Mus musculus: one gene and its partners. The protein of the gene in region 1 interacts with the protein of each later gene in a biochemical or structural test. Links are inferred from orthologs where the notes say so. Each region holds a gene or a part of one and is shown in the gene's direction. Other genes may lie near its edges.

Region 1 (3,912 bases):
CACTCCTATAGAATAGTCAGTTTATTTTTGATATGAAGTACTTAAAAATAGTTTTTGTTTCACATTTTAGGTGTGAGTTCTTGATACGGATGAAGGGTCAGGAGTTTGTTGATGAGATTCAAGCTAGATATCCTCATCTTCTTGAGCAGGTAAACTGATTTTAACATTTACGTGAAAGCGGGGAGATGGCTCATTTGATAAAGTTCTTACTATGAAATATGATGATGCCCTGAACTGAGATCCCAGCACCACATACAGAGCTGGTGTGGGAGCATGCATCAGTAACCCTAGGATGTTGGAAACAGGTGACCCCTGGAGGTCACTGGCCAGGCCATTCAGTGAGTTCCAGGTTAAATGAAGCGGAGACCTTGTCTTAAAAACACACCTGTGTTCACCTTTGTCCTCCACATGTGTGTGAGCACATAGATGCACACACCTATGTGGCCAGGTTCATATATTCTACATATACAGACAAAAGTACAGCATTGAACTATACTATGAAATAATAATTACAGAAATCTTAGAAGAGACATTTATTTGTATTTCATTTACATAATTTTAAGGCAAAATTGAAGTTTATTAAATTTTTATAGCATTTTAAGCACTGTAGTTAAGAAAAAAAGTACTTAGAAAGAAAGACCCGCCTAGTTTGGGTGTGTGCTTAGAAGAGCTGGCGTTCAAGTTACATGGCCTGTAGCCACAGTAACGGCATTCTTGACAGTTTTGTTGGTAGCTTGCTGTTCAGGGTTCTTTATAAATATTGTTTTTTACTTTTGCCTTTTTGAAAAATCTTATATCCTGCTACTGTACAGAGGTTTTTGTTTGTTTGCTTTGTCTTTATATGGGGTTAAAGAGGTATTGTCAATGTCTCTAGTCTCTTCTAGAAAAAAACAAAAACTTGTTGAGAGTTAAAGCCTTGGAAGAGTTACTCATGAAATCCCACTTTCCAAATGGAATGAGATGGCACTATTGTATCTTCCTGGTCTCTAAAATAGAAGCCACACTGGAGTTTTAACTTGGATGTAGATAAATGTGTAAGCATAACTGTATGATAAGCATGATGAAGCAAAACAAAGTAAAGTATATGTGTGTTTATTTTAGAGTTTTGGGACAGGGTTTCTTGTATCTGAGGGTTGACTTGAACTCCTGGTCTTCTTGCCTCAGACTCCTAAGTGTTGAAATTATAGGAGTGTGCTAGCATACCTGGAGTTTCCAAAAGGATGCGTCCCTTTACTTAAATGTCTGTTTGCTTGGCTGTGGTGGCTCACTCCAGTAATCCCGATACTTGGAAAGCTGAGGCAGGAAGATTTCCATGAGTGCTAGGCCAGTGTCAGCAACAGAGTGAGATCCCCAACTGTGCTGTTTAGAATGTTAGAGATTTCTGACTTAGCTGTCAAGTGTTCTCTTATTTCATAGCTGTTGTCCACTTCAGACACCCCAGGAGAAGAAAATGCTGACCCTACAGGTAAGTAGGAATAGTTCAAATACAACTATGAATTTTTGTAAGAATGTTAAGAGTAAAAGTATATTAGTGAAAAGGGTGGTAACGTTTCTGAAGTCATAGGGGCAACTTTGGGATGTTAACTAGAAAATGTATGCTTTTACTGAGATTCCTGACATTTATGATACTATTATTATTTAAAGAGCTGACATATGAGCATATGAAGTGACGAGACACATGCAGAAAACAGCTTGAAGCATACCGAATGAAAGCTTTACCTCCAGTGGGGAGACGGTCACTGTGCCTAGAATGTGTTAGAAGAGGCTGCAGGTGGTGCTGGAGATAGAGTAGTGATTGGGTGCAGGGGGCTCTGTATGAGAGCTGAGTTTAGCCAGCTCTCAGTAGTTACATGTGTTGTGGTTAAATAACGGTCACGGTATGTGCTGGTCATATCACAAGGGGAGTGCTGGTTCTGCTTCACCATTTGGAGAGAGGCATTGGCAGCTTTGCAGCCGGTACAGAGAAACGTGACCAAGATATTTAAAAGTCGTAGAAACCTTGACTACATAGTAGATAGGGGCTTAGTCATGGAAACTATGCTCCAGGGGGTAAGGCACTGGGGTCATGTGTGAGAGGAAGGAGTACCTCAGTATGTGGTAACTGCCTGTATAAGGAACTGGACAGGGTGAAGTAGTAGACAGCTGCTCTTAGTCAGTGTTAATGTAGGCTGGAACCCAGAGCACTCTGTGCCACGCTGCACCATGCTATACATCTTGCTTTTGTTTTCCTTATAAAATCTCTTTGCCTATTGTACTGGCTAGTTTTGTGTCAACTTGACACAGCTGGAGTTATCACAGAGAAAGGAGCTTCAGTTGAGGAAATGCCTCCATGAGATCAAACTGTAAGGCATTTTCTCAATTAGTGATCAAGGGGGAAAGGCCCCTTGTGGGTGGGACAATCTCTGGGCTGGTAGTCTTGGGTTTTATAAGAGAGCAGGCTGAGCAAGCCAGGGGAGGCAAGCCAGTAAAGAACATCCCTCCATGGCCTCTGCATCAGCTCCTGCTTCCTGACCTGCTTGAGTTCCAGTCCTGCATCCTTTGGTGATCAACAGCAGTATGGAAATGTAAGCAGAATAAACCCTTTCCTCCCCAACTTGCTTCTTGGTCATGATGTTTGTGCAGGAATAGAAACCCTGACTAAGACACCTATCTTCATAATGATTGTTGCACATTGTTTCTTTATAGATTGCTGCTTTTAATTTATAAAATTATTTTTAAAGGAATATATGAGAGATTGTGCGTGTATGGTGTATATCTAGATGTGTTTCACAGTACACATGTAGAGATCAGAAGACAACTTCAGGAATCAGTCTTCTCTTGGGTTCTGGGGATCAAATTCTGGCTTGCCTGGGAAGTGCTTTTGTACTTCTTTCCCCATTCATAGGACAGCACAGAGAAAGTAGGAGAGCGAAGAGAACTTCTTTCTTTCTCTTAGAACCACTTGACTCTGTTCTTCTTTCTTCCCTTCTTCTCATATTTCCCCTCCTTTCTTTTTTCATTCATTTTTCATACAGGGTCTTATAATATGCCCCCGGCTGGCTTTGAACTTTGGATCCTCTGGCCTAAGGCTCTGAGCACCGTATTACAGGTATTACAGGCCACCTCACCTGGCCTTGTCCACTGGATTATGTCACCTCCTGCTAATCTGGAAATGTTGCTTTGATAATGACAAGAGTCACTGGAAACTGCTGGAGTGAATCCTTCTGGGCACATCCTCAGCTGGCCCTGAGCTTGGGATGCTCCTGCTCCTCTGCCACAGGGCAGGGCTGATGGAAGCACGCTGCCGCACACTGAGCTTTTGTCCTCTACACACCAGCTTTGGGGACTTCCCTGACGCCACTCTTTTAGGTGTTTTTCCAGTTTGTTAGGATGATTTTGAACCGTTTCTGCTGCTAGTTCCTTTTTCATATTCCTACGTGGTAGACTACTAAACGAGTGTACTTTATTATGCTCAGGTCAGATGCAGTCCAGGCTGGAATGTTCAATTACCTGTGTAAATCTTAGAGGTGCTTCCAGTTTGGGCTACAATAGCTGTCTCAGCAAATATGTCAAAGCACTAGGTTTCCTCTGATTTCATTCTTCAGATGTTTTTCTCTGACCTTCCCCATCTCAGTTCATAACACCCAGTTACAGAACCAACTGGGCTATCTCCTGAGAAATGCTCTGCCTTCACAGCATGTCCTGATACTGTCTCTTAGTCCATGCTACCCTGGTCTATCTTGTAGACCAGTTGTTCCTGATCCCAAATCCATCTGTGCAGCATCACCAGTTACCTTTGGAATAGCTCTCTGCTTAAGTTCCTCCTACAATATTCTGGCAAACTTAGGGTGATGTGGACACTCCTCACAAAGCTGTATATACCATGACTACTGTCCCTGCCGTCTGCCACCATCTTTATTTCTTGACTGTGTT
Region 2 (3,912 bases), on another chromosome or scaffold:
TTGGGGCTTTGTCTATGTGACTGATAGTCACAGAATTATGGAGTTGGGAGCTCTGTGCTGTCAGGCACCTGTCTCTGGGATTGTGGCTCACTATTCTGTCCCTTGTAGAGTTTTCTACTGGGTCTCTGGAGCAAGACTCGCGCAACCAAAACAGGCTGCCTTTCACTGTCCCAAGAGTAAAGATCGTGTACACACATGCTAGCTCACACACACACACACACACACACACACACACACACCCCTACAGCGAAGAGAGCTCTGTGACTCAGAGTTACTGCTGCTGTTGAAGTGTGCCGGGTGATGTCAGGCTGGGTATGAGCGTCTGTGACCTGCCAGGAACTTAAGGGGCTGATTGTTATGAACCCTGACAGAACCTATCCAAAGCCACCGGAGCTGGAGCAGAAGCTCTGAGGTCAGGGGCTTTGGTTTCTTCTTGTTGGTTACTTGGTCTCTGGAAGGAGGCCATCCGTAGAGTTGACACTCATGTGTCGGATTACACTATCACGTTGATGGTGCAGCAACTCTGGAGCTTAAACTCGCAAAACTGCTCACCCTACCTTTAATTCATTACGTGCTATGTCACCTGAAAATGCTAAAAGACAGAGGGCCACAGTTTATAGAGTGCTGCTCATGTGTGAAGACCTGCGTTCAGCCCCTAACACCCACATACAGAGCCAGGAGCCTCGACACACACTTGAGACTGGTGGATCCTTGGGGCTCACTGGCCGACCAGCCTACCCTGACGGGGAGATCCAGGCCAGCGAGAGAGCCTGGCTAATAACACAAGAGGACAGAGTCTAGGGAATGACGTCCAAGGTTGACCTGTGTGTGCGCACACGCACAGACTTGTCCCACACGTGGACACACACACAATCACAAGGCTAAGACGCCACTCTGCATCTCTGTTTTTCTGGTTTGGTTTTCCTCCTAGATGACCGATGATCAGGACTGTGCTGCGGAGCTGGAAAAGGTGGATTCTTCCAGCGAAGACGGAGTTGACGCCAAGCCAGACCGCTCCTCTATCATCTCCTCTATTCTCTTGTAAGTTCTCCTCTTGGCTCATCACCCCCCTCAGCCACTTAGACCCACTTCACACCCGATGGGAGGGGACACTCAGGAAAGGAGGTTTGTGTTGGACCTTCTAGCTTAGGCAGGTCCAGGAAGGCTGCGCTGCACTGTGTGGGCTCCTGCTCACAGCTGCATGTTTGAGGGGCAGCCTGCTCTCATCCGAGCAAGGCTGGGGGCTGCTGATGCCTGTCGGTAAGGAACATGGCTGCTGAATGGCAGAGTATGGGTTGTAGGAATAGCAGGTACCAGGGCAGCTTGCTCAGGGGTGAAGCTAGACCCCTCCGTGTTCAGGCCCCTAGCTTTCCTGAGTCCATGTTGTATTCTACATCTGCCATGTATGAATAATCACACCTTCATTTATCATTTGTATCATCACATTTAACCCATGTGTATTCCCGGGGGATGGGTCCCTCGTCGATGCCATCTGGCGGGTTGGGGAAACTGAGGCACTAAGGCTTCATCACTTTTGTGACGGGTCAATAATAGATGGTTGTGCTGAAACTAGTGTCCAGACTGTACAGCGGCACTCACATGAAGGGATCTCTAGTTAAAAAGAGGGCTGGCCAGCAAGGTGGCCCAGTGTTTCAAGCCTGCTAACTGGATGGGATTTATCCCCTGAAGCCTCAAGGTAGAAAGAACCGACTTCCCCCAAGTTCTTTGACTGCCACAAGTACACAAATAAGTAACGTAATTTCGGCGGAGGGCTTCAGGGGAGCAGAGGACCCTCCTCGCACCTTCTTTTGGTCGGGGACATTTATGGCATTCCCTGAGGGTCAGGCACACCCCTCTGCTTTACGTGGTAATCCCCACCCCCATCTACAGCGTCACCTTCTGATGTTTCGATTGCTCTTCAACCATGGTCTGAAATTGTTAAATGGAAAACTCCAGAAATACGAACGCACATTGCTCATCCCACGTGGTGCGGTGGAATCTGCTGTCACGACACTGTCCCATGCAGTCATGTGTCATCCCTCTGTGGAGGATGTTACCAAGTCGTCGCTTGGGCTATGACAGCACTGTGCTCAGGGCATCCTGTTTTATTTAATATTGCCTCCAAAGGGTCGGTTCTTTTTTTTTTTTTTTTTAAAGATTTATTTATTTATTATATGTAAGTACACTGTAGCTGTCTTCAGACACTCCAGAAGAGGGCATCAGATCTTGTTACAGATGGTTATGAGCCACCATGTGGTTGCTGGGATTTGAACTCCTGACCTTCGGGAGAGCAGTCGGGTGCTCTTACCCACTGAGCCATCTCACCAGCCCCCAAGGGTCGGTTCTTAATGCTGCGGTTCCTACATGCCCAAAGGAGGGTGCACACAGAGTTCTTTCTTGAAGCGGGAGTTCTCAGCCAGCGAGGAAATGAAAGCCTGGGCTCAAGTTGCTGGGCTCTGCTGTAAGAATGGACTTTTTCAGGGGCCTGTGTGGTTACTCACTTACTGTGCAAGTGAGATGACCAGAACTGAAATTCCCAGAACTCATGTAGTAGGTGGGTGGTGGCTTGCCCATAGTTCCAGCCTTCCTTGGCAGAGGCAGAGGAATCCTCAGAGCAAGCTGACTGGTGAGACTAGCTCTGGAGTTGAATGAGACATTCTACCTCATTGAAGAAGGTGGACAATAGATAATTCCTGGCATCAGCTGAAGGTCTCAACAGACACACACCAGTTGCAAACATGCCTTCACATACATGCACCCAACATACACAGGCACGTCTCACACACACACACACACACACACACACACACTGTATGAGAAAGGAAAGGGAAAAAGAAGGAAGGCTTTTTTTTTTTTTTTTTTTTTTTTCTGAGACAGGGTTTCTCTGTATAGCCCTGGCTGTCCTGAACTCACTCTGTAGACCAGGCTGGCCTCGAATTCAGAAATCCGCCTGCCTCTGCCTCCCGAGTGCTGGGATTAAAGACGTGCTGTTGTGAGGTTGTAAACAAAGGAGATGTACTAGGATGCTGTGCCGCTCACCTATGAGCCTGTGCGCCATGATGGTGACCTCTTCATGGTAGAAAAGGCACAGGACAATAGGGATTGGTATTGCCTGTGGTTTGGAGGTCCTATCAGTGGTCCTGGAACGCACACCCCCCTGGTAAGAAGGAACCACAGTGCTTCCTAAGCCATTCTCACTGGACACAGACCGCAAGGGCATGATGGACTCTGGGCAGCGCTCGGGAAAGGGAGAGCTGACTCACGAGGCTTCCCCTGAAACCCTCCAGAGACAGCTGCAGGTCATACCATCCCAGACGAAAATAGCACTCAGGAGAGTAGTCCCCAGTGCAGCGGGCTTGAATTTCAGTGGGTGTCACCTGAGTTCAGGAATAATCCACTGGAGTTCCAAGCTTTCAAAAGCTTGGTGAATTGGCCTAGGCTAGCCTGTTTCCCAGAGAAAGCCATTTAGAGGAGTAGCCTTCAAGTGTTAAATGTCACATTCTGACACTGCACCCCTGTACAGCGTAAGCTGCTATTATTTGTTTGTTTTTACAGAAATGCTCTCTATAGTTCCCAGCTTTTTTTTTTTTTTTTAAATGTATGTGGGTACACTGTCGCTGTCTTCAGACACACCAGAAGAGGGCATCAGATCTCATTATAGATGATTGTGAACCACCATGTGGTTGCTGGGAATTGAACTCCGGACCTCTGGAAGAGCAGGAGGTGCTCTTAACCACTGGGCCATCTCTCCAGTCCGGCATAACTATTTAGATAGTGTAAAAATGATTACTAATATTATGTATTAATGCTGGAGATTAATATGGCAGCAGTTTATTAATATTCTGTATATATTAATGCTGGAAATTGAAGTACAACAGCAGTTATTCCTTAATCAGCTAGTTCCGCAAATAA
Region 3 (4,433 bases), on another chromosome or scaffold:
ACAGCTTTGAAAGAAGTAGATTGCAGGCTGGGAGGTGGCTTAGAGGGCAAAGTGATTGCTGCGCAGGTGTGAGGACTTGAGTTCGAATCCCTAGGGCCCACATAAAGCTGGATGCAGGAGCACACATCTGAGGTCTCAGAGTTCTGCCTCCTTAAGACACACCCTCCTGTTTTTTGAGAATGGATGTTTTGTATCCTAGGACACTCTGAATCTTCTATGCAACCAAGGGTCACCATAGATTTTTCTGCTTCCACCTCCCAAGTGCTGGGATTACAGCCATCCATCTCAGAGCTTGGATTATGAATGTGGTAGAGGCACTAACGTGGGGCTTCGTGCATTCTTGGCAAGCTCTCTACCGACTGGGCTACATCTCCAGCCCGCAAGAGAACATTACTGAGATAAGGTTCCTCTAATGTTGGGGAGCATCTGACAGAAGGCTAGGCTCTCTATTCTCCAGCAGCTAGTACACGGCCAGAGAAGGCAGCTATTCAACAGGCGCCGAGATGACAGGGAAGAGAAGGATTTGATAGGTCAGATCCAACCAAAGGGGCCAGGGGAGAGCACTCAGGGACAGTAAATGTAGGACTTTTTTGAGGGGGAAAGTCTTTAGTTCTAAACAAAACCGAGGGTGATACTCAACTCCCACTCCAAAAACAGACAGATAAAGCTGTGCACAGCAAGTCACTTCCTCTCTCAGAGAAGCAAAGAGGCAGGCTATGGAGGGGCACGCCTATAAGCTCAGCACTTCGGAGGTAGAGGCTTAGCAGTTTAAGATCAACCTCTGGTACCTAGTTAAGCATTCAAATCCAGGCTGCGCTAAACGAGATCACGTCTCAAGTTATTAAAAACAAAACAAAACAAAACAAACCCGGTAGCCTGGGTATGGTGATGCACACCTTTAATCCCAGCACCCAGGAAGCAGAGGCAAGGGATTCTCTGAGTTCCAGGCTAGCCTGGGCTCCACAGCAAGTTTCAATACAGCTAGGGCTACCCATGGAAAGAAACTCTTGTCAAAAAACAAAAAACAACAACAAAAAAGAGAGAGACAGCTCAGGCATGGTAGTACATTTCTTGAAATATCAGAACTCTGGAAGCAGAGGCAGTAGTATTGCTGTGTTCTGGGACAGCCTGGTCTACATAGCCATTCTGGGATAGCAAGGGCTACATAATGACACCCTGTCTCAATAAAATAAACAAAAATATAAAAGTAAAACATATTTACAACACTTTTCTTCACGAAGTTGCAAGACTCAAAATAAACTTTAGTTACAACACCGTGCACATCATTGTTCATAGTTTTATTACGGATAAAAAATACCGTTAAAAGGCGCAGAGAGCCAACCAGAGCATGCAAGGAACGCAGCCCGCGCGCGTGCGCGCCAAGGGGCGGAGCCCGAGCCGCCCTCAGCCCCTTCTCTCTCTTTGTCCCTCCCACTTCCGCGGGCACCCAACCATGCGTCCCCTGCGTGCTGACGTCAGGCGCGTGCCCCTGTCCGGCAGCCGAGGAGGCCCCGCGCAGTGCTGCCAACGCCCCGGCGGAGAAGCTGAGGTGAGTGCGGGGCCCGAGAAGCCTCCCTGCGGGAGCGTCTTCTGCGCCGCCCGGTCCCCTTCGCGTGTCCCCCCCCCCCCCGTCCTCTCTCGGTTCTCGAGGATGCTCGCGGGCAGGGGCATCCCGGTGCTTGCGGGCGGTGGGCCGCGAGGGAGGGCTTGCCGGGGTCGCGTGCGCCCGCCGGCCCGGGTTCTGAGGGAAGCGAGGCGGGGTCGCGGCGAGGCTTAGGGCTGGAATGGCGGCGCGGCGCGGCCGGGGATGGCGGCGGCCGAGGGCACAGCCCGGCCGAGCTGTCAGCGGCGGCGGCGGCGGCGGCGGCGGCGAGAGGACCGGGCACACCCATCCCACCCGCTCCCCTCCCCCTCCGGCCGCCCGCGGGCTCCGAGGCCCCGGGGCGCGGGGTGGGAGACGCCCGGTCCGGACCGGGGTCGGAGGCCGGGGGCTGTCTCTCCGTTGTGGGCCTCGACTTCCTGCTTCCCCGGCCCCGCCACGGACGCGTTGCGGCTGGCGGGGGAGGGGAGCGGAACTGCGGCCGCAGGGCCGGGCCGGGCCGGGGCCGAGGTGACGGACCGGGCGGCTCTGCGCCTGCGCCCCTCGGCGGTCTCCAGCCCCGCGCCGTGTCCTCTCCTGCCCCGCGGCTCCCGGGGCTCTCCTGCCGGGGCCGGCCTCTTTGCCATCCGGGACCTGCCTAAGCACCTCCCGAAACCCCGCCTGGCCACTTACTCAGTTCCTCGTTCCTAGCAGGAAATTTTCTTTGTCGGTTATTATTACTATTTTGTAAATTCCTCTTTCCACCCCTTTAACTCTGGGAGAAATTCAGTGTGGAAGATTACGTCATCGCAGCATAAGGGGTGAGAGTTTTAACTCCTACAAGTCAGGGCTATTCAAATTAAGACAGCATCTTGCGGCCTTTGTGGGTCAACCCAGCACATTGGTTCAGAGTAAGGTGGCAATTTTTTTTTGTTGTTGTTGAAATCCTGTTGCCTGTCTTCAGGCTGCCTGAGATGCACCTAAAATACCGAAGGTTCAAAATCTTAGGTTTAAGTTATTTTGGTCAGGGAATATACACTGTCTGCAGCCACTTGTGTAGGTATGATCTTTAAAGGACCCCTTGGCTATATACTCGGGTGAATTGCAGGAGCAATTCTTTGCCACACTAATTGTGACTTACTTGATGTAAAGAACCCAACTTCAGTGCATGGTTTGAAGAATGAGGTGAAAAGAGAATTTCGTCATACCCCTGATTTGTCTTTGTTAGGATTGCAACTTCAAAGTTGCATGCTTTAGTTTTTCCATTAAAAGGGCTTTTGGATTTTTTTTTTTTTTTTATCTTGAGACAGGGTCTCCATATGTAGCCCCGGTTAACCTTAAACATAGAGGGACCTCCTAGTCTCTGCCTCTCAAGAGCTGGGCTTACAGGAATGAGCTACTTGAATTACCAACCTTGATTTTAATTTCTAACCCTAAAAACTTGAGTAATATTTTTAGATCACTAGAATGGTGTGTCCTTTGATTATAGTACACACTAGCATTGAAGAACATTAACACTGCAAAGCAAATGATATCCAGTGCATCCCTGTAAGGGTGGCTCATGTTTGAACAAGACTTTTCCCATTATTGCTCATTTGTATAGAAAATGATGTTTGTAAAATACTGGAGTGGTGGATTCAAATTGGCTTTCTGTAGTTGGTAGTTGTGGAGCTTGAATCTTCCAAAATCTTCCAAAATTTGTTAGCCTTAATGTGACATATAGGAATATAAAATTGGAATACTTACCTACTATTGTGTTTTTTTTAGCCTATATTTAAAAGGTTTATATGTGCACCATTTTTTTTTTTTTAATTAACTAGTTTGGGCTGGTGAGATGGTATAGTGGATAACAACACTTGTCCAACAGGCCTGACTACCTTAGTTGGGTCCCCCAGAACCCAAAGTGGAAGGAGTGAATCCTCTCCAAAGTTGTTCTCCATTGGGCCTTAGTGGTCCTAGCCTTTAATCCCAGCCCTGGGGAGGCAGAGGCAAACTCTTGAGTTTGAGGCTAGACTCATCTACACAGCCTGTCTTGAAGAATCAAAAACAAAAGCTGTCTTCTGATCTTCACACTCTTGCCAGTGTGTATGTGTACAAATAAATGCACACAATAATAATAAAAATTAAAAACACAATTAGTTTGATTTTGACATAAGAGATTGGCAACTGAGTATTTACAAGGAGTTTGTTTTTAAACAATTTGTTCAAGACCCTAAAGTGCCTTATATTCTGTTAAACTCTTATTTAAATTCAAGATGTTTTCATATTGAGACAATACCTGTGCTTAGTAAACACATTCCCTGCTCCGGTGATCCTTGTAAACCCATCAAGACTAAAGTTTACAAAGTTTACAAATCTTTGCAAAAAGATTTGTTTTCTTAGGAATATTTTTGTAGATTATTTTATTTCAGATTTTCATACATGTGAAACATTTTATATTTTGACCACCCTATCTCCCTCCTCTGTCCCTCAGCTCTCCCCTCAGTGAGTCCATCTCCCAACTCTTGTTCTTTTTTGTGACCCACTGAGTCTAATGCTGCCCCACATTTCTAGTTACTTTTATGATACGTATACTGCAGATTTTTTTTTTCTTTTTTTTTGGTCTAATGTACTTTTTGGAGGAGAATTGATGGGGCTTGAATGCACAGTCAAACTTTGATCTTTGATTCATAGGGCTATAATTTAAGTGGTTCTTCCATTTTAGTTTTAGTTTTTTGTTTTTTGTTTTTTTTTTTAAAGAGGATAAGGGGCATTTAATTACAAGATCTCTTATGAAAGGGAACAATTCATATTGAGTGTATTTTTCTCCCATAAACAGCTCTCTATATTCCTCAATGTAAAAGGGCTATTCTTT
Region 4 (3,912 bases), on another chromosome or scaffold:
CAATGTACTTATCATTTGCTTCTTGAATTATGTTTTTATGTTCAAGCTCTGTATTCCCTAGGGGTGAAAAATGAAATATTTTTACTTAATTTGGGTGGGATTTTCTCTGTAATCCTCACTTTGCACAAAGATACTGTGTTGGTATCTAATCAAGTTCACTTATTGTTTTTGAACACATAATTCACTTGAAGATACTGCAGAATTTCTATGTTCTGCTCATTTATTCCAAATATAAACTCTATTCAGCTTAACTAGGCAATTTGCAACTGAATTATAATTGTTGTGAAAATACTTGCACTATGAAAAGACTGTCTTCTGTTACTGCTCTTTACTTTGTGTGAAAAATAAGGACATCATATCAAAGGGCACATTTATCTGAATGTTTAGAATAAATTATCACAAATATTTATCCTGGTGAGTAGCAGCCCTAGGCCAGTGTTATGGAAACTTCATATTCTTCATTAAAATTCATTATTTTTAAGAACAATTTCAGGCATATCTGAACATTCACCATCCTGACTGTATCTGGGAATTCTTTACCTCATCATCCTCAAAAATGGTGGGATTTTTTTAAATAATTCTATATAGTTTATATACAAAGTTTGCTTACAATGTATAACTTTCTAACTTAAACAGCTATGCAGTTATCATGTGGGAAGTGTTATCCAGAAAACAGCCTTTTGAAGGTACGTATACTTTTATTCCAGAGGACATCATGTGGGTGGTACACGTCTCAACTGTCTAAACCTCACCAGATTTTAAATATACCAGCCATTCATTTTGTACACAAACTGCACTGTACAAACATAGCAGTATATCAGTTATGCATCTATTGCATACTATAAAATATACTAGATTAAGGATCAGTTATGAAGAGTGTACTTGGCTTAAAGATCAGAAAAATTTAAATTCTAGTTTTTATTCTAGCAATAACTAACCCTGTGGTCAAGCCACAAAATTTCATGACCTCATTTTTTTTATTTGCAAAATGAGAACTTATTTTCTTCGAGACAGAGGCTCACTATGTAATTCTGGCTCTCCTGGTGGAACTATGTAGACTATAGACCAAGCTGGCCTAGAACTCACATATTTGCCTGCCCCTGCCTCCCAAATGCTAAGATTAAAGGCACGTGCCATCATACCTGGTTTTATTACTATTTTCAAAATCATGATATCAATAAAATTCTGTGTGAAAATTTAATTGTTACTCCTTCTATAAATACCAACAAACATTGAAAAATAACCTTTGTCATTCCCAGATAATATTGGGGCATTTTTTTTTGAAGTTCATAATGTTGAACTTGTTACATCATGAATATCCTTAATATTTCAGTAGTTTAACAGATAGCATTTATCTCTCATTCACATTAACTGTACGTTACTGTCCCTCGTTGCCTATGCTAGGCTCTGCTGAGCTCTGCCTGTTTGGCTCTTCTCACAGAGCAAATCAAATAACTTGTCTAAATCTAGAACTCGGGAGGAGAGGCTATAAATTCCTCCTAGGAGAGGTGCACCAGGCTGAGAGTGGCTGGGACGTAAGTCCTCTTACAGAAAAGGGTATTTTGAATTAAGTTAACACTTTAAGATATCCTCATTTTGATTTGAAATGTGTTAGTAATGTCTTTCCAGTTAATGAAATACATTTGTTTTGACAGAGGTCACCAATCCTTTGCAGATCATGTACAGTGTGTCCCAGGGACATCGACCTGACACCAGTGAGGAGAATTTGCCATTTGATATACCTCATCGAGGTCTCATGATCTCTCTAATACAGAGTGGATGGGCGCAAAACCCAGATGAAAGACCATCCTTTTTGAGTAAGTGAACAGTTTTAATCTGGACCTTTGAATTATAGAAATTATGAGTATACATTAAATAAAGTATTCCTTAAAAATTCATGCCTATCTTGAAACTATTCTATACATTAATTTGCTCTTGTTGTTTGTTACATTTACATATAGGCAATGGCTACTAGAAAAAGGTTGAGAATTCCTAACAGAAAAGCGAAGTTGTTTGGTGGTAGTAACATTCCGTTCCCTTAGTGAACACCTGCCTTGTGAGCCCTCCTCACTGGGATGAGCAGAGAGAGCTAAGAATAAATGTGGCATCTTCTCAATGTAACCTTCTTCTGGAGAAAGCATGGAGGGAATGAATAAATAACTAAGACACAACTTGTCAAGTCAGTCCTGAATTAAAACAAATGGCCTCACCCATGAGAAGAATGGCAAAGGGTTTTTAGGAGCTTGTATTTGGGTTCTTGTTTCAAGCTTGAAACAGAGCCAGTCATTCTCGGACTAAATAGTCCAGCAAAGAAAACATCCAAAGTAAAGAGTCTGAGACGATAGGAAGAAAATGTTTTGTGTTTTCAAGGAAAAAAGAGGAAGCCCCTGTATTTAGAGCATAGTGAACCAAGAAGGTGGTGAAGGTGCCTTAGAGAGTAAGGGAATGGTTGCCAGCCCCTCTCAGACCTATACTCATGCGTAATGGAAAGCCATTCACTCCTGTCTCCTCTGGGAGCAATGTGATCTAATTTAAGTTTAGGTCAAAATCCCTCTTGACTGCTAGATGGGGAAGTGACTGTGTGAGAACAGAGAGAGCAGTTCGGAAACTCCCTCAGTAATTGTCCAATTCAAGTGACAGTTCTAGACACAGAAAAGTTATCCAACGTTAAGGCACATTTCAGAGGAAGAGGAAGATCAGACATCTAAGTATAAGCAGGAGGGACTCTTAAGACCTTGCTTAGGCAGAGTTCTTAGATTTGAATCCATAGGATCTAAAAAAAATGGTTTTTTTCAATAAATAATCTTGGAGATTGAACTTTTATAAATTAGAACTTTGTACTTGAATAAATACCAGCTGAGAACTGGCTTTCAGGAGAAAGTGCTTGTCATACAGGCCTGAGGAAAGGAGCTTCGATTCTCAACACCCATCAAATGCTCTACAGGTATGCCGCAGACTGCCGGTAATCCCAGCATTTAGGAGGTGGAGATCGGGGCTCCAGAACAAGCTGACTAGTGAGCGAGACTAGTGAGCTCTGGCTTCAGTGAGACCTGGCATCATGGCCTCAGTGTAGAAAGCAGAAGCAGAGCAGTCCTTTGCAGATGCACATACATGCAAACATGCAAATAAGATGCTCACATCACACACACACAGACTCTTACAAAAATAAATTAACTACAAAAACATGAAAAGACAAGCCACGGATGTTTGGAATATATTTTCATATCCTATATCAAAAGGACTTATGTCTGGAAATAAAAAAATCATTCTGTCTAATCCAATAATAAGACTAATAGCAGTTTTAAAATTATAGATTAGGATTCTACCAAAGAAAATATACAGTTGACTAAAAAGCATATAAAGGTGTTGTTCATATCACTAGAAAATACAAACGGAGAGATCGCAATACAAACCCATTAAAACGGCTATGGTTAAAAATGACAGATAATTTGCAAATTCGTCTGGAATAACAAAAAACCTAGGATAGCAAAAAGTCTTCTCAAGGATAAAAGAACTTCTGGTGGAATCACCATGCCAGACCTAAAGCTTTACTACAGAGCAATTGTGATAAAAACAGCATGGTACTGGTATAGAGACAGACAAGTAGACCAATGGAATAGAATTGAAGACCCAGAAATGAACCCACACACCTATGGTCACTTGATCTTCGACAAGGGAGCTAAAACCATCCAGTGGAAGAAAGACAGCATTTTCAACAATTGGTGCTGGCACAACTGGTTGTTATCGTGTAGAAGAATGCGAATCGATCCATACTTATCTCCTTGTACTAAGGTCAAATCTAAGTGGATCAAGGAACTTCACATAAAACCAGAGACACTGAAACTTATAGAGGAGAAAGTGGGGAAAAGCCTTGAAGATATGGGCACAGGGGAAAAATTCCTGAACAGAACA
Region 5 (4,605 bases), on another chromosome or scaffold:
ATTTTTTGTTTGTTTGTTTTATTTTTTTACTGTTAGGATATTAGGATGGCTGGAATTCCTGGTCTGGTTTCTTTTCTTTAAAAAAATATTTTAGATTTTGTGTCTGTGCTCACGTGCACACACGTGAATGAATGCAGGTGTCTCAGGGGGCCAAAGGTGTTGGATCGCTCTGGAGCTGGAATTACAGGTGGCTGTAAGCCATGTGATTCAGGTGCTGGGAACCTAACTCCAGTCTACTGGAAGAGCAGCTTGGCCTCTTAAGCTCCAGGAGGAGGGAACTTGCCAGGCAAGTGTGAGGAACAGAGCTCCAATCCAGAAACTAGTATACTAGGAGGGTACGGTGACTCACCTGTAACTCCGGAAGATAAAGATGGGATCTCCAGGGCAAGCTGGTTGGCTAGATTAACTGGAATTGGCCAGTTTTGTGTTCAATGAGAGATCTTACTTCAATATATATAAGGTGAACAGCAACTGAATACACCCAGTGTCAACCTTGGTCTTCTATACACATGTGCACCACACATGTGCCCACACATGAAAACATGCACACACACACACACCACAGATAACCAAAAATATCTTTAATGTTCTTGTCTTCTAATAGGCTACCTTATTTGTGAATGAATTATATGCTTACCCTATCATATCAGCAATCTTTAAAAGAATTCTTCTGACCTTTATCCTTCTGTTTATTATTTTAATGGTATGTATGTTTTTTTTTCCTTATATTTTTGTTTATTTAGTGCTCCCTCCCCACCCCCCACCCCTATTGAGAAAGTCTCATGGTAGGTCAGGTTAACGCTGGACGCTACATAGCCAGAGGTCAAACTTCAGATGTTTCTGCTACCTCCAGTCCAGAGCTGGGATTCCAGGTATGCACTACCTGATATATACCACATCTGTTTCATACCGTCGTGAGGTTCAATCCTAGGGTTTCATATCTGTATCTGCTCGGGGAAGCACTCTACCAATTGAGTTGCATATCCAGAGGTTGGACTTGAGGTTGATCCCCAGGATTCTACTGCTTCCGCCCACCAAGTGCTGGGATTACAGGTGAGCCACCAGGGCAGGCTGTGATGTGCTAGGGATGGAGCCCCAGGCTGTACATGCCGGCAAACATTCTGACTTGGCTACATCCCTAGCAGTTTCTTTTTTGAGACTGGATCTCACTGTGGCACGAGCTATACAGAATTTTCTAGCAGGATCTTACGCTACAGCATACTGTAGTTATCACATAACAAGGGGGCTCAGGAATCTCTCCATGGAGTTGGCACAAGTAGGTTGCGAGCGAACGGGACCCTACCACTGACCCGAACCCGTAACCCCAGGATTCAGAGGGCTTCCTAAACCTGGTCACAACCGGGACGCTTTAGCGTGCCAAGATGGCGGCCGCCCCGCCCCGCGGCCGCCGAGCCCGTTCTCCGGCTGGAGCCGACTGTTGCCGAGCTTTCCCGAAAGCCCGTGGAAGCCAGGAACGGCGCGGGCGGGCGCGCGGGCGGGCGGGAGCGGCCCCGCCCGGAGCCTGGGAGCTGCGTCGACGGCACCGAGGGGGAGGGGAGGCCGGATGTGAGTGGAGCGGCCATTTCCTGTTTCTCTGCAGTTTTCCCCAGCTTTGGGTGGTGGCTGCTGCTGCGCTTCGCCTTCCCGTGCGCTGAGGGCCCGGCGGCGTGGACAGCAGTCCCGGCACTCGGCGCCCCGCCGCCCGCAGCCTCGCCCAGCGCTTCCCGAGCCCGCCGCTTCGCGCCTCAGCCACCGGCCGCCGCCGCCGCCGCCGCGGCCCACCGAGCGGCCCAGATGCAGGCCATCAAGTGTGTGGTGGTGGGAGACGGGTGAGTGCACGGCCGCGCCTGGCGCTCCGGACCCGGTGCCGCGCGCAGCGCCATCGGGGGCCCCCGCAGGCCCGAAAAGCCTCGAGCTGGCGTAGAGCGCGCGCCCGGCCTTCTGGGGGGCGCGAGCCTCCCACCCTCCCGGGCCTGGTTCCGGATTCTGGTTGGGGGAGGGCCTGGGCGAGCCGGCCGGAGGGAAAAGTGAACTCCACCCTCCTGCCTTCTTCCCGGGCCGGACGCCGCCCGTCGCCCTACTCGACTTGGCACGTAGGCGAGGCTGGTTTGAAGAATTTTTCTTGAAACATTTTTAAAAAAAATTTTTGTCTTTTGAGAAAGGGACGTATAGTTTCTTCATTTACTCAGGGTACCCCCTCGCACCCCCCCCCCCGAGAACTGGGATAGGTAACGGCCTCCAAGTCGGCCGGCCCTGGTCGATGCATGTTTGCACCAGTCACTTGGGTGACCTGGAACTTGGGAAAGGGCTCGGTTGCTTCGACTTGACAGGGTGTTTATAAAAATATTCATTTTCACACTTACGCCGAGAAAGTTACTGGGATGCTAGCTGAAGGAGTGTGATGAAGACTGTCCATTGAACGAAGTGTGGTTATTAAAAACAAACAAACCTTCTCTGAAGGCATTAGATATGGATGTAGCAGATCCAGCTCCCTGTGACTCGAGGCAATTCTTTTCGTGATTGACCGTGATGGTTTCAGGCCCTTGAGGGAGACAAGACTGGTCTTATGCAGTCCGTCCCGTTCCCCCCACCCCTTCGGTAGAAACAAGAATCTCAGTGTAATCGGAGCAAAATCGCGCGTCTCAGCGTAGCTTGTGTAGGTTCGTGTTAACGAGGAAGCTTGGAGATTTACCACCCGTTTCCTCAAACGCAGAGTGCAACTGGTCCACTTTCTAGTTCAGTCGAGTACGTTGCCAAACTTGCTTAATGCCTTCCACACTTGCAGTGAGCACTCGCCGCCCATGGGTTTATGAGCCCGTGGATTTATGAGCGATTGTTCAGCGTATTTACAGAACTCTACATTAGACTTTGGGATCGTCCCTGTAACTAAGTCAGCCAGACGGTCAGAGAACTTTATTTTTCTGCTAACATGTCTGTCTGTGGGATTTGTCTCGGAGACAGGAAGTCTCATGGATACGGTTCAATGTATTTAACGACACACTGGAATTTCATTGAGTAGGAATGTCAATGGTGCTTTCCTTTCACCTCCTAAAAGAAAGCTTTGTCACTTGGGGCACTTAGTTTGATAGTGAAGATGTTGTATTGTGGGGCCGGGGTCTTTTTGTGTAAATCCTAGTTTCTGACTGCCTTGGTCCCAACTCCATGATTCTCCTGTTAGGAGGACATGGACATAGGCGTTGGGCTTACAGGTATGAGCCACAGGTCTGCTTTAAGTGAAGGCAAGATGGCTGGGTCTGTCTGTCTGTCTCTCTTTTTGTATTGCGGTTGAACTATAACATAGCACCTTGCTGGGGAACGTTTAAAACTTACCTGAACTTTCCTTGAAAAGTTAAAAATGTTTCACCAGCAGTTTGTGGGCTGGGGAATACTACCACATTCCTAGTGTTTTAATAAGTTAAATTGCTCTGTCACCATCCTCTTTTCCTCCCAGAGCTTAGGGACCAAGGGGAGGAAGAGAGATTATAAGAGTCAGAGGTCAGGGACACCCAGCGGAAACAGTATTTTCTAGATTCCACTTGTGAACTCAGCAGCAGCTGTATAAGATCCTAGCCCAGGGCAGAGAGGGCCTAGGCTGAGTCGAGATGGGCCCTTGATGCTTCTAGGGGTGAGCCAGTCAGTGTTCTCTATGGATGTGGTCCTTGAGGGAAACTAGCCCCAGTGTGAGGCCTCACACTGTTGAGTCTATGGATGGGCAGCACAGATTGGACTAGGTGAGTTTTTAGGGCTGGGGTGGAGTTGGAAGGAAGTAGGGATGACTATGAAAAAGTACATTGAAAGACATCTCAAGACAATTACTTTTTAAAAAGGTAAATTGCTGCTGATCCAAACCCAAACCTTAGTGCTTGGGAATTCCTAAGACCTGACATGCACATGCAGCAGGTATGCCAGCACTCATTCTGTAACCCCCACCCCCAGCTGGGCCTCAGGGCCTTAGGTTTCCTGGCACGTCTGAACAGCTGAGATACGTCTTAGCCTGTTGCTGGCTTTAAAAAGAAAATCTAGTAAAAACGTGTAGAATGCCTCCTGTAGGGTTCATTTGGATTGCCACACCTTTCTTTTTCTCCCTACATTTTTTAATGTGTATGGGTGTTTTTGTGTGTATGTCCGTGCCGTATGTTGATGCCAGCAGAGGATCTCCTGAGACTGGAGTTACTGAGATCGGTGAACCATTAGGTTGTGATAGGAGTGGAACCCAGGCCCTCTGGAAGAATGACCAGTGCTCTGAACTGCTGAGCCATCTCCAGCCCTCAGTACCCTTTTAACCTACGGAGTAATCCTCAGCATATCATTTCTTCCTCAAGAGAGATGCCTCAAGGGAAAGTTAAACAAGCCTAAATGAGATGCTGAGTATGAAGAGGCTCTTGAGTGCCCGGTCCTTGTGGAGCGCTGAGCGAGTGCTGGTTACCGTTGTTGCTGTGCTTTTCTCTTCTCCTTTTCCTTTTCTTTGAGTCCAGTGCCTATTCTCCTGAGCCGTTCCCACTTGCTTCTCGCCTCACTACCGTTGTTGGGGTTTGTTTGTTTTCACTATGAGGGTCAGTGAAGAATGTTAGACATAAAAATGCAGTTCCTGGCCATGGAGTTTTC
Region 6 (3,912 bases), on another chromosome or scaffold:
TGCTTAACATTATAATCTAAGAATATCATCAGACTATGACCTCTTTCTACACAAACATTCTTAGTTTGGGGAATCCTGCCCTAAAGAGAACATCCAGGACCCTCTAAAGACAAAGCCCAAGTTTATTTGAAGATGGCTCAGGTTATAAATTAACAGAGAATCGTATTTTACCTCATTCCTAATCCTAGACACATATATTCATTGGTAGTGACTGCTCCTTATTTTTTCCAGTCCATCTTTCCACTGAGAAGTAGTATCCTGAGGAGGTCCAGGTGATGAGGAAGGTCTCACTCAAATCCTCTTGTGTTGCAGACCACCTCCACTCCTAACCTAGGGTCACACTAGTAAAGTTGCTACCCTAAAAGTCATTACCCCTTGTCCATTGCCAAGTCTACTTTTTGTCCCTAGAATTTTTCCTTCCCACTGAACTAAACTATGAATTTCAGTGGATGCTCAATTCATGTTATCTAACACATGTAGCTTTCTGATAAAATGTTTTTGATTTTTTTCTAGTGTTCCATGATGCCAGACATGAAGCATCCCCTGTAATATAAATCACAGTCTTCCGTAACTCTTAACTGAACAGCTCATGTCACAGATTATACTTCTCCTCAAGAAAAACAAAGGCACTCCATATATGTGGTACTTCTCCTCAAGAAAAACAAAGGCACTCCATATATGTGGTACTTTGGGAGGTGGAGGGTTCTGAGATAAGACTCACTGTATTTTCTAGCTGGTCTAGAACTCACTGTGGAGTACAAGCTAGCCTCAGACCTTTAATCCTCCTGACTCAGCCTCCTAGGTAATGGGATTCCAGGCATGTGCTACTATCCCTGGCAACATGTAGTATGTTTTGTTTTGTTTTGTTTTGTTTAAATCACGGTCCTTTTGCCCTGAGACATCCTCTCTGATTGCTTTATAGGACACAGCACTAAGCAAGAACCAAAAGTGGTGTGTTGGAGATTCTGAGCAATCAAAATGCAACCAGACATGTCCTTGGACAATATTAAGATGGCATCCAGTGACCTGCTGGAGAAGACAGACCTAGACAGCGGAGGCTTCGGGAAGGTGTCCTTGTGTTACCACAGAAGCCATGGATTTGTCATCCTGAAAAAAGTATACACAGGGCCCAACCGCGCTGAGTGAGTTGGGGGCATAAATGGGCTTGGCTTTTTGCTAGCTGACTGCAGAAAGTAGTTATCTCCATCTGTGTGGCTAAACACAGAGGTTTGAATGAGGCTGACCTGCAGGGAGACTTGACACACTGGCTAGCTCAAGGGTGACCATAACTCTTACTACTATTTTGGATGAGGACTTTGGGGTTAATTAAAAAGATATTAATGCTTGAGAAATATACGAGGAAGACATCACTGAAGACAGAAAGCTGGGTAGTAAGGGAGGCAATGAGAAGAAAACAGCCATGGCTGCAAACACCTAAACCTGAAGTACAAAAAAAGGCCAATTCTGTCTCAGAAAAACAAACAGACAGACAGACAGCAACCCTGTAAAAGGTGGAGAGCTTCTCTTCTCCTCAGGCTAGTTTGAGAGGGGCGCCTTTTTTCTTAATGTGTTTTCCAGCTCAGTCTTCATCAGGCCAGATCGATGCTGCACTTTTTATTAGTTGATTTGCATGTTGTAACTGCCCGACTTCTAGTTCCTGAGACAAAACAGGAGGGAGGAGTTTAGATGAGGAGAAGCCTCCCTGCCTTCTAGGACCTGTCTGCCTGGAGATCAGAAAAGACCTCATTGTGACAAATGTCTGCAAATGGTGCACACACTGCAGGGACACTGGAGCTTCTTAGGCACCTGGGTAGAAGGGTTTGCCCTGCCCTGCCCTGCTCAGCCTAGCTCCTTTCCTGGCCACAGGTACAATGAGGTTCTCTTGGAAGAGGGGAAGATGATGCACAGACTGAGACACAGTCGAGTGGTGAAGCTACTGGGCATCATCATAGAAGAAGGGAACTATTCGCTGGTGATGGAGTACATGGAGAAGGGCAACCTGATGCACGTGCTAAAGACCCAGGTAGGTGGCACTGTAAGGCAGTCTGTGCTAATGTATCAGGTACTAACTGCTTTGGCGGCTTAGAGTGTAGCTTTCTGGTTGGGAATTTTGTTTTCATGGTTTGGACTTCCTTGCTTGCTTACTTGCTTTCTGGCTTTCTTTCTGTCCTTACTTTTGTTCATACATTTGTTTATTTGTTTGTTGAAACTTTTATTATTATTGAGACAGGGTCTCTCTCTGCTATATAACTCTGGCTTTTCTGCAACTCATATATAGACCAGGCTTGGATTAAAGGTGTTTGCCCCCAAATGGTCTGATAGATATATGTATAAATGATAACAAATCTGAGTTGATTGATGAAAATGTCTATGCTGTAAATGACAGGTGGTAATGAACAAAAGTGTGTGCAATGTTGTTGACTATAAGAGAAAGTGGGATATTAGCAATTGTACTTTTAAACCATTTAAGAAGTTGCTATAGGTTAAATCTAGAATATAAACCACAGCAATATAAAATGTAAAATCAGGGAAGAGATGAATTTATCAAAACTAGATAATTTTTTTAAAAAGTTTCTTTACCTGTTAGGGTCTGTGTCTTATGCTAGTTCTTCAGGAGCCCATAGCTGACATACAACACAGGCAAGTACACGAGGCAGAAGAAGCAACTGGAGCATATGATGTGATGGATGGTGTCTGATAGGCATACAGTCACCTGCTGTGGAACACAGGCAAGGTGCCCACCCCAACCTGAGCTAGGTGGGAAAGGTTTCCCGCAGAAAGGCAAGGTGAAGCAGATAACTAAGGAGTAAACATTCCAGGCACAGAGAATGACATGGAGGAAGGAATTAGGGGATGCCAGTGTGTAGAACTGCCAGTCACCAACTTTGGACAGAGCACAGATGTCATGTAAGGGGCAGCGGCATTTCTGCCTTTGTCCCAAATATTTCCCCTCCCTCCATCTCCCCATGCCTTACAACTGCACAATCAACAGATCCCTCAGAAACATGGACATGGTGGGAAGGATAAAATATGGTACACGTGGCACTGAGGTTTTACCAGATGGTTCTCTTCCCCCAAACCAGGTAAGATCAGCCATGTGACAGAAGTAGGCATTTTGATCCAGAGATAAGTCATCTGTGATGAGAGCCTTTCTGTGGGGTCAGCCAATGATAAGCTTCACAAGATAGGGACAAGAAAAGTCAAGGACCCAAGAGAAGCGGGAAGAGGTTGGGCGGGGGACAATGATACCTTCTAACAAAGCTTTCCTGAAAGTATACTGATGAAGGCAGGAACAGTCTCTGCTGCTAGTTTTAATTAATCAACTAATTTTTGCAAACAAGGGCAATGACAATGCTGCTCTCAAACTTTTGGATCCTTTTGCCTCAGCCTCCTTGGTATCTGGGACTGGAAGTTTGTGCCACCAGATCCAGCCCTCTGCTATCTTTTCTATTGTGGAAGCTGCCAATGCTGTGGTTCCATTAGAGCATGGATAGATGTGGTGTGATGACTATGGTTCCACATGCCTCGGGAATCCAAGCTCCATCCCCTGATCTTTTAGCCTGTAACCCAGTAACAGACACCTATAGGTTTTTAAGAATCATTCTGTCTGTAAGCTAGTTTTAGTATTAAGAAAAACTGAAATACTTCTAAAACAGAAACATACATCTCTTAAATGATGACATTGAGGTTGATATAATTAGAGTATAATTTTAAGAGTGACCTGAGATTCTACAAAGATCTAAAATGTCTGCTGCCAGCTCACCACATAAACCCTAATGGAAACTGCATGGTATCATGCATGTGGCAGAGATGCTTATGTGCTTGTTGGCACTGTAAACATCCTTCCTTGAACTCTATGTCTCTTTGTATCATTTCACATTCCCATTTCCCTGATGTTATTCTTATGTAAAT
Region 7 (3,912 bases), on another chromosome or scaffold:
TTGTGGTTTTGTTTCTACTTCTCTGCTGTACCTTCTGCCTCCCCAGGCATCCCGCTGCCTTCTCTGGCATATCTGCTTTGGTTTTTGATAGATGATTCTTCATTCTGTATTGTTTTCTTTTTACTTGATAGTGTGTCTCCAAATCGTTTGTATCTAATTCAGCTGTGTCATTCCATGGCATGTTTGTGCTATTGTTTTCTTACCTGGCTCCTTGGTGGGTGTTTGTTGACTGATCAAGCATTTTACTGAGCCCGTGCCAGTCTTACTCTAAGCCTACCTGGGGAGCAGAGCCACAGAGGAAAAGGAGCTTGCCAGCTTCTCACAGAATAGTGGTGGCAACAGATTGTCTTGAGGGTTAGGGCTGATGGATGGGTTGGGGGCGCAAGGACTGCTAATTCTTCACTGGCTTCCCACAGAGGCAGCCACACCATGGTGGGGATTGGTAAGCGGCTTGAAGGCCTGACCCAGGACCTGCAGCAACTGCAGGAGAGTGAGCAGCAGCTGGATCACCTGATGCACATCTGTACCACACAGCTGCAACTGCTTTCGGAGGACTCCGACACCCAGCGATATCCTTGGATTGGTCAGGGTGCATTGAAGGCCGACTTGGCCAGTGGTGGCGCCGCACTACTGAGACTATAGAGGTTACCTAGGGCTCTGATGATAAAAAATTCTGGCTTTGGAAACAAGACCTGGCTCTACATTGACTTACCATGTGACACCGAACAAGTTACTTGGATTTTATGGGCCTCAGTTTCACCTATAAAAGAGAGGACAGTAATATCTATTTCCAAAATTGTACATATTAATAGAAAAATAGCCAGGGCTGTGGTGGCGTGCACCTTTAATCCCAGCACTTGGGAGATAGAGGCAGGCGGATCTCTGAGTTTGAGGGCAGGCTGCTCTACAGAGCCAGTTTGCTGTCTCAAAAAAAAAAAAAAAAAAAAAAAAAGAGAAAGAAAAACGCTGGGCATGGTGGCGCACGCCTTTAATCCCAGCACTCGGGAGGCAGAGGCAGGCAGATTTCTGAGTGTGAGGCCAGCCTGGTCTACAGAGTGAGTTCCAGGACAGTCAGGGCTATACAGAGAAACCCTGTCTCAAAAAACAAAAATAAAATAAAATCTGACATTCTCTTCTGCTGTCTGAAGACAGCTATAGTATACTTATATATAACAAATAAATCTTTTTTTAAAATCAAGTAATACATTTTAAAAGAAGCCAAGGACTGGAGAGATGGCTCAGCAGTTAAAAGCATTTGTTACTCTTACAGAGGACCCAAGTTCAATTCCTTGCATGTACATGGTGGCTCACAGCTATCTGTAGTTCTAGTTATAGTGCATTTATGCCCTCTTCTGACCTCCAAAAGCACTAAGTGCTTGTGTGGTGCACATACAGGTATGGAAACCACTCATATACAGAAAAGACCAGGCTGAGAACAGGGATACAGACTCTGGGGGAGCAGAGCCATGGGGATATCTGAACTCAGGCTGCTCTGGTCCACATGCTAGGCTAGCCAGGGCTACCCAGTGAGACCCTGTCTCAACCAAAGAAGGAAAGCCCAGTGTGGTGGTATATACTTGTAATCCCAGGGCCAGGGATGAGGCAGAAACTAACACTGAAGGCCAATTGAGGTTATAGAGTAAGACATGCAACATAAGCATAGGTCACTGGATTACACAGACCCTGTCACCAAAGAGTGACAAACCTTTCCTTGGTCATTAATTTAGTTCCCGATTGTAGCTTCAAAGTTAAGACTTTAATTCACAAAAAGAAACTATTAGAAAGTGTGCCTTTTAGTGAATATCATTATCAGTAAGATTGTCAAAATCCATTTCCCAGTCCAGACCTGTTGAGCATTTGATATGAAATTATTACAGGCAGCCATGAGTTTGGAATTGGATGGGTAGATAGTCTCACTGTTGAGAAAGTTGAAGTTTAGTAATGAGATTCTGGGCAGCTACTATGGGCCAGGTGGTGGGATGAGGGTGTCAAAAAGGAGTGACTGGGGAGGCGTATGTGAGTCAGTGGTCCTTGACTCCCCCAACCCTGGCCTATGTGACCTGCCAGGACCTTCGCAGCATTGCAGACCCTGCAGAACAGATGGTCATAGTGATCAAGGCCCCTCCTGAGACCCAACTACAAGCTGTGGATTCTTCAGAGGTGAGACTAAGGACCCTAAGCCTTTCCAAGACAGGGAGGCTGGGCTGGTGCTCACCTAGGCCTTACCTATCTATCCTGCCTGCTGCCTCCACCCAGACATTTCAGATCTCCCTTAAGAGCAAACAAGGCCCCATTGATGTTTTCCTGTGCCCGGAGGAGAGTGCAGACGGGATTAGCCCTGGGAAGACCTCATGCCAGGAGACATCCTCTGGGGAGGACCGGACTGCAGACTCTGGCCCAGCAGGGCCTCCACCATCACCTCCCTCCACATCCCCAGCCTTGGATCCCAGTCAATCCCTGTTGGGCCTGGAGCAAGGTAGGTAGGGCCAGGGTTTGTAGTATTTGGCAGGCACTCATGGCAGCCCCTCTCCTGCTGGGCCTCTCCTAACTTGTAATGCCTCCTTTCTCCAGAAGCAGTATTGCCACGGATGGGCCACCTGAGGGTCCCTATGGAAGAGGACCAACTGTCACCACTGGTGGCTGCTGACTCACTCCTGGAGCATGTTAAAGAAGACTTCTCTGGGCTCCTCCCTGGGGAGTTCATCAGCCTCTCCCCACCCCACGAGGCCCTTGACTATCACTTTGGTCTCGAGGAGGGTGAGGGCATTAGAGATCTCTTTGACTGTGACTTTGGGGACCTGACCCCTCTGGATTTCTGACAGAAGCCTAGGGATTCAGGGTGTCTGGAGATGCCCACCTGTCTGCAGCTTTGGAGCCTCCTGCCCTGGGCCATCCTTCCTGCCTCATTGGAATAGCACGATCCATACCCTCTGTCCCAATAGCTTCTAGCTCTGGGGTTTGGTTGCTGCCACATTGAGCAGACCAAAATGGGAAGGATGTTGTACAGTGTGTGTGCATGCACCCCACACTGCGCACTGTGTGCCTGGGGTGTGTGTCTGAGTGTGTGTGTGTGTGTGTGTGTGTGAGTGTGTGTGTGTGTGTGTGTGAGTGTGTGTGTGTGTGTGTGTGTGTGTGTGTGTGTGTGTGTGTGTGTATGTATGTGTATGTGCACGTGTGCCCGGGAATGAAGGTGAACACATCTGTATGTGTGCTGCAGACACATCCTGGTGTGTCCACATGTGTGCATGGATCCATGTGTGCGCATTGGGGTGGGGGTGGGCTCTAACTGCACTTTTGGTGTCCTTGCTGCAGGGGCCCTGTGAGGCCCAGGGTGGCTGCCTGCTTTCAGAATCCTGTGTGTCAGCCAGGCCGGGTGGTACAGCTTGCCTGGCTGGGTTTGCAGGGCAGCAAGAGCACTGCTTAAAAGTTTTCCGATCGAAGCTTTAATGGAGCGTTTATTTATTTATCGAGGCCTCTGGCAAGCCTGGGGGGATAAGCAAAGGGTGGGGGGCATGGGTGATACCTTAAGTCCCTGTTCTCTGAAGCAAGGGCAGGATCCCTACCCAAGAGTTGCTGAGGCCCAAGCAGTTTATTTATTGGGAAAGGGAGAGGGAGACAGACTGACAGCCATGGATGGGCTGGAGAAACAGTCCCTTTGTACCAGTACTCCAGCCGCATGTATCCAGGGGATCTGAGATGGGGAGGGTACGTGAGGGCCTTGGCTGACTGCGGCCAGGAGGGGTGGGTATGCGTCCTTCCTATGGCTGGAGTGCTCCTCTGCTGTCCTCCCCACCCTCCAGTCTGCACTTTGATTTGTTTCCTAACAGTTCTGTTCCCTCCTGCTTTGATTTTAATAAATGTTTTGATGGTGTTAGGGCTGGGTTTGAAACTCTCCGCCAGCCAGAGTGAGGC

The links.
Region 2: the proteins of Birc2 (region 1) and Casp7 form a complex in vitro, tested with the Homo sapiens proteins (2 studies listed by BioGRID, with this or other methods). The link is inferred for Mus musculus from reciprocal best matches to the Homo sapiens genes BIRC2 and CASP7.
Region 3: the proteins of Birc2 (region 1) and Cdc42 form a complex in vitro, tested with the Homo sapiens proteins (2 studies listed by BioGRID, with this or other methods). The link is inferred for Mus musculus from reciprocal best matches to the Homo sapiens genes BIRC2 and CDC42.
Region 4: the proteins of Birc2 (region 1) and Ripk2 form a complex in vitro, tested with the Homo sapiens proteins (4 studies listed by BioGRID, with this or other methods). The link is inferred for Mus musculus from reciprocal best matches to the Homo sapiens genes BIRC2 and RIPK2.
Region 5: the proteins of Birc2 (region 1) and Rac1 form a complex in vitro, tested with the Homo sapiens proteins (2 studies listed by BioGRID and IntAct, with this or other methods). The link is inferred for Mus musculus from reciprocal best matches to the Homo sapiens genes BIRC2 and RAC1.
Region 6: of the proteins of Birc2 (region 1) and Ripk1, one has a biochemical effect on the other in vitro, tested with the Homo sapiens proteins (6 studies listed by BioGRID, with this or other methods). The link is inferred for Mus musculus from reciprocal best matches to the Homo sapiens genes BIRC2 and RIPK1.
Region 7: the proteins of Birc2 (region 1) and E2f1 form a complex in vitro, tested with the Homo sapiens proteins (2 studies listed by BioGRID, with this or other methods). The link is inferred for Mus musculus from reciprocal best matches to the Homo sapiens genes BIRC2 and E2F1.

Annotation. Positions count from the first base shown.
Region 1 is NC_000075.6:7,823,168-7,827,079, reverse strand, and holds part of Birc2 (baculoviral IAP repeat-containing protein 2), read left to right. Parts: intron 1-70; coding exon 71-149; intron 150-1,416; coding exon 1,417-1,465; intron 1,466-3,912. UniProt on the Homo sapiens protein: Multi-functional protein which regulates not only caspases and apoptosis, but also modulates inflammatory signaling and immunity, mitogenic kinase signaling, and cell proliferation, as well as cell invasion and metastasis.
Region 2 is NC_000085.6:56,403,485-56,407,396, forward strand, and holds part of Casp7 (caspase-7 precursor), read left to right. Parts: intron 1-931; coding exon 932-1,041; intron 1,042-3,912. UniProt on the Homo sapiens protein: Thiol protease involved in different programmed cell death processes, such as apoptosis, pyroptosis or granzyme-mediated programmed cell death, by proteolytically cleaving target proteins.
Region 3 is NC_000070.6:137,354,762-137,359,194, reverse strand, and holds the start of Cdc42 (cell division control protein 42 homolog), read left to right. Parts: upstream 1-1,435; 5' UTR 1,436-1,549; intron 1,550-1,556; exon of another isoform or gene 1,557-2,400; intron 2,401-4,433. UniProt on the Homo sapiens protein: Plasma membrane-associated small GTPase which cycles between an active GTP-bound and an inactive GDP-bound state. In active state binds to a variety of effector proteins to regulate cellular responses. Involved in epithelial cell polarization processes.
Region 4 is NC_000070.6:16,135,979-16,139,890, reverse strand, and holds part of Ripk2 (receptor-interacting serine/threonine-protein kinase 2), read left to right. Parts: intron 1-636; coding exon 637-686; intron 687-1,655; coding exon 1,656-1,817; intron 1,818-3,912.
Region 5 is NC_000071.6:143,524,987-143,529,591, reverse strand, and holds the start of Rac1 (ras-related C3 botulinum toxin substrate 1), read left to right. Parts: upstream 1-1,598; 5' UTR 1,599-1,794; coding exon 1,795-1,829; intron 1,830-4,605. UniProt on the Homo sapiens protein: Plasma membrane-associated small GTPase which cycles between active GTP-bound and inactive GDP-bound states.
Region 6 is NC_000079.6:34,008,679-34,012,590, forward strand, and holds part of Ripk1 (receptor-interacting serine/threonine-protein kinase 1), read left to right. Parts: intron 1-922; 5' UTR 923-978; coding exon 979-1,142; intron 1,143-1,866; coding exon 1,867-2,023; intron 2,024-3,912. UniProt on the Homo sapiens protein: Serine-threonine kinase which is a key regulator of TNF-mediated apoptosis, necroptosis and inflammatory pathways.
Region 7 is NC_000068.7:154,559,595-154,563,506, reverse strand, and holds part of E2f1 (transcription factor E2F1), read left to right. Parts: intron 1-416; coding exon 417-569; intron 570-2,045; coding exon 2,046-2,160; intron 2,161-2,256; coding exon 2,257-2,476; intron 2,477-2,571; coding exon 2,572-2,819; 3' UTR 2,820-3,912. UniProt on the Homo sapiens protein: Transcription activator that binds DNA cooperatively with DP proteins through the E2 recognition site, 5'-TTTC[CG]CGC-3' found in the promoter region of a number of genes whose products are involved in cell cycle regulation or in DNA replication.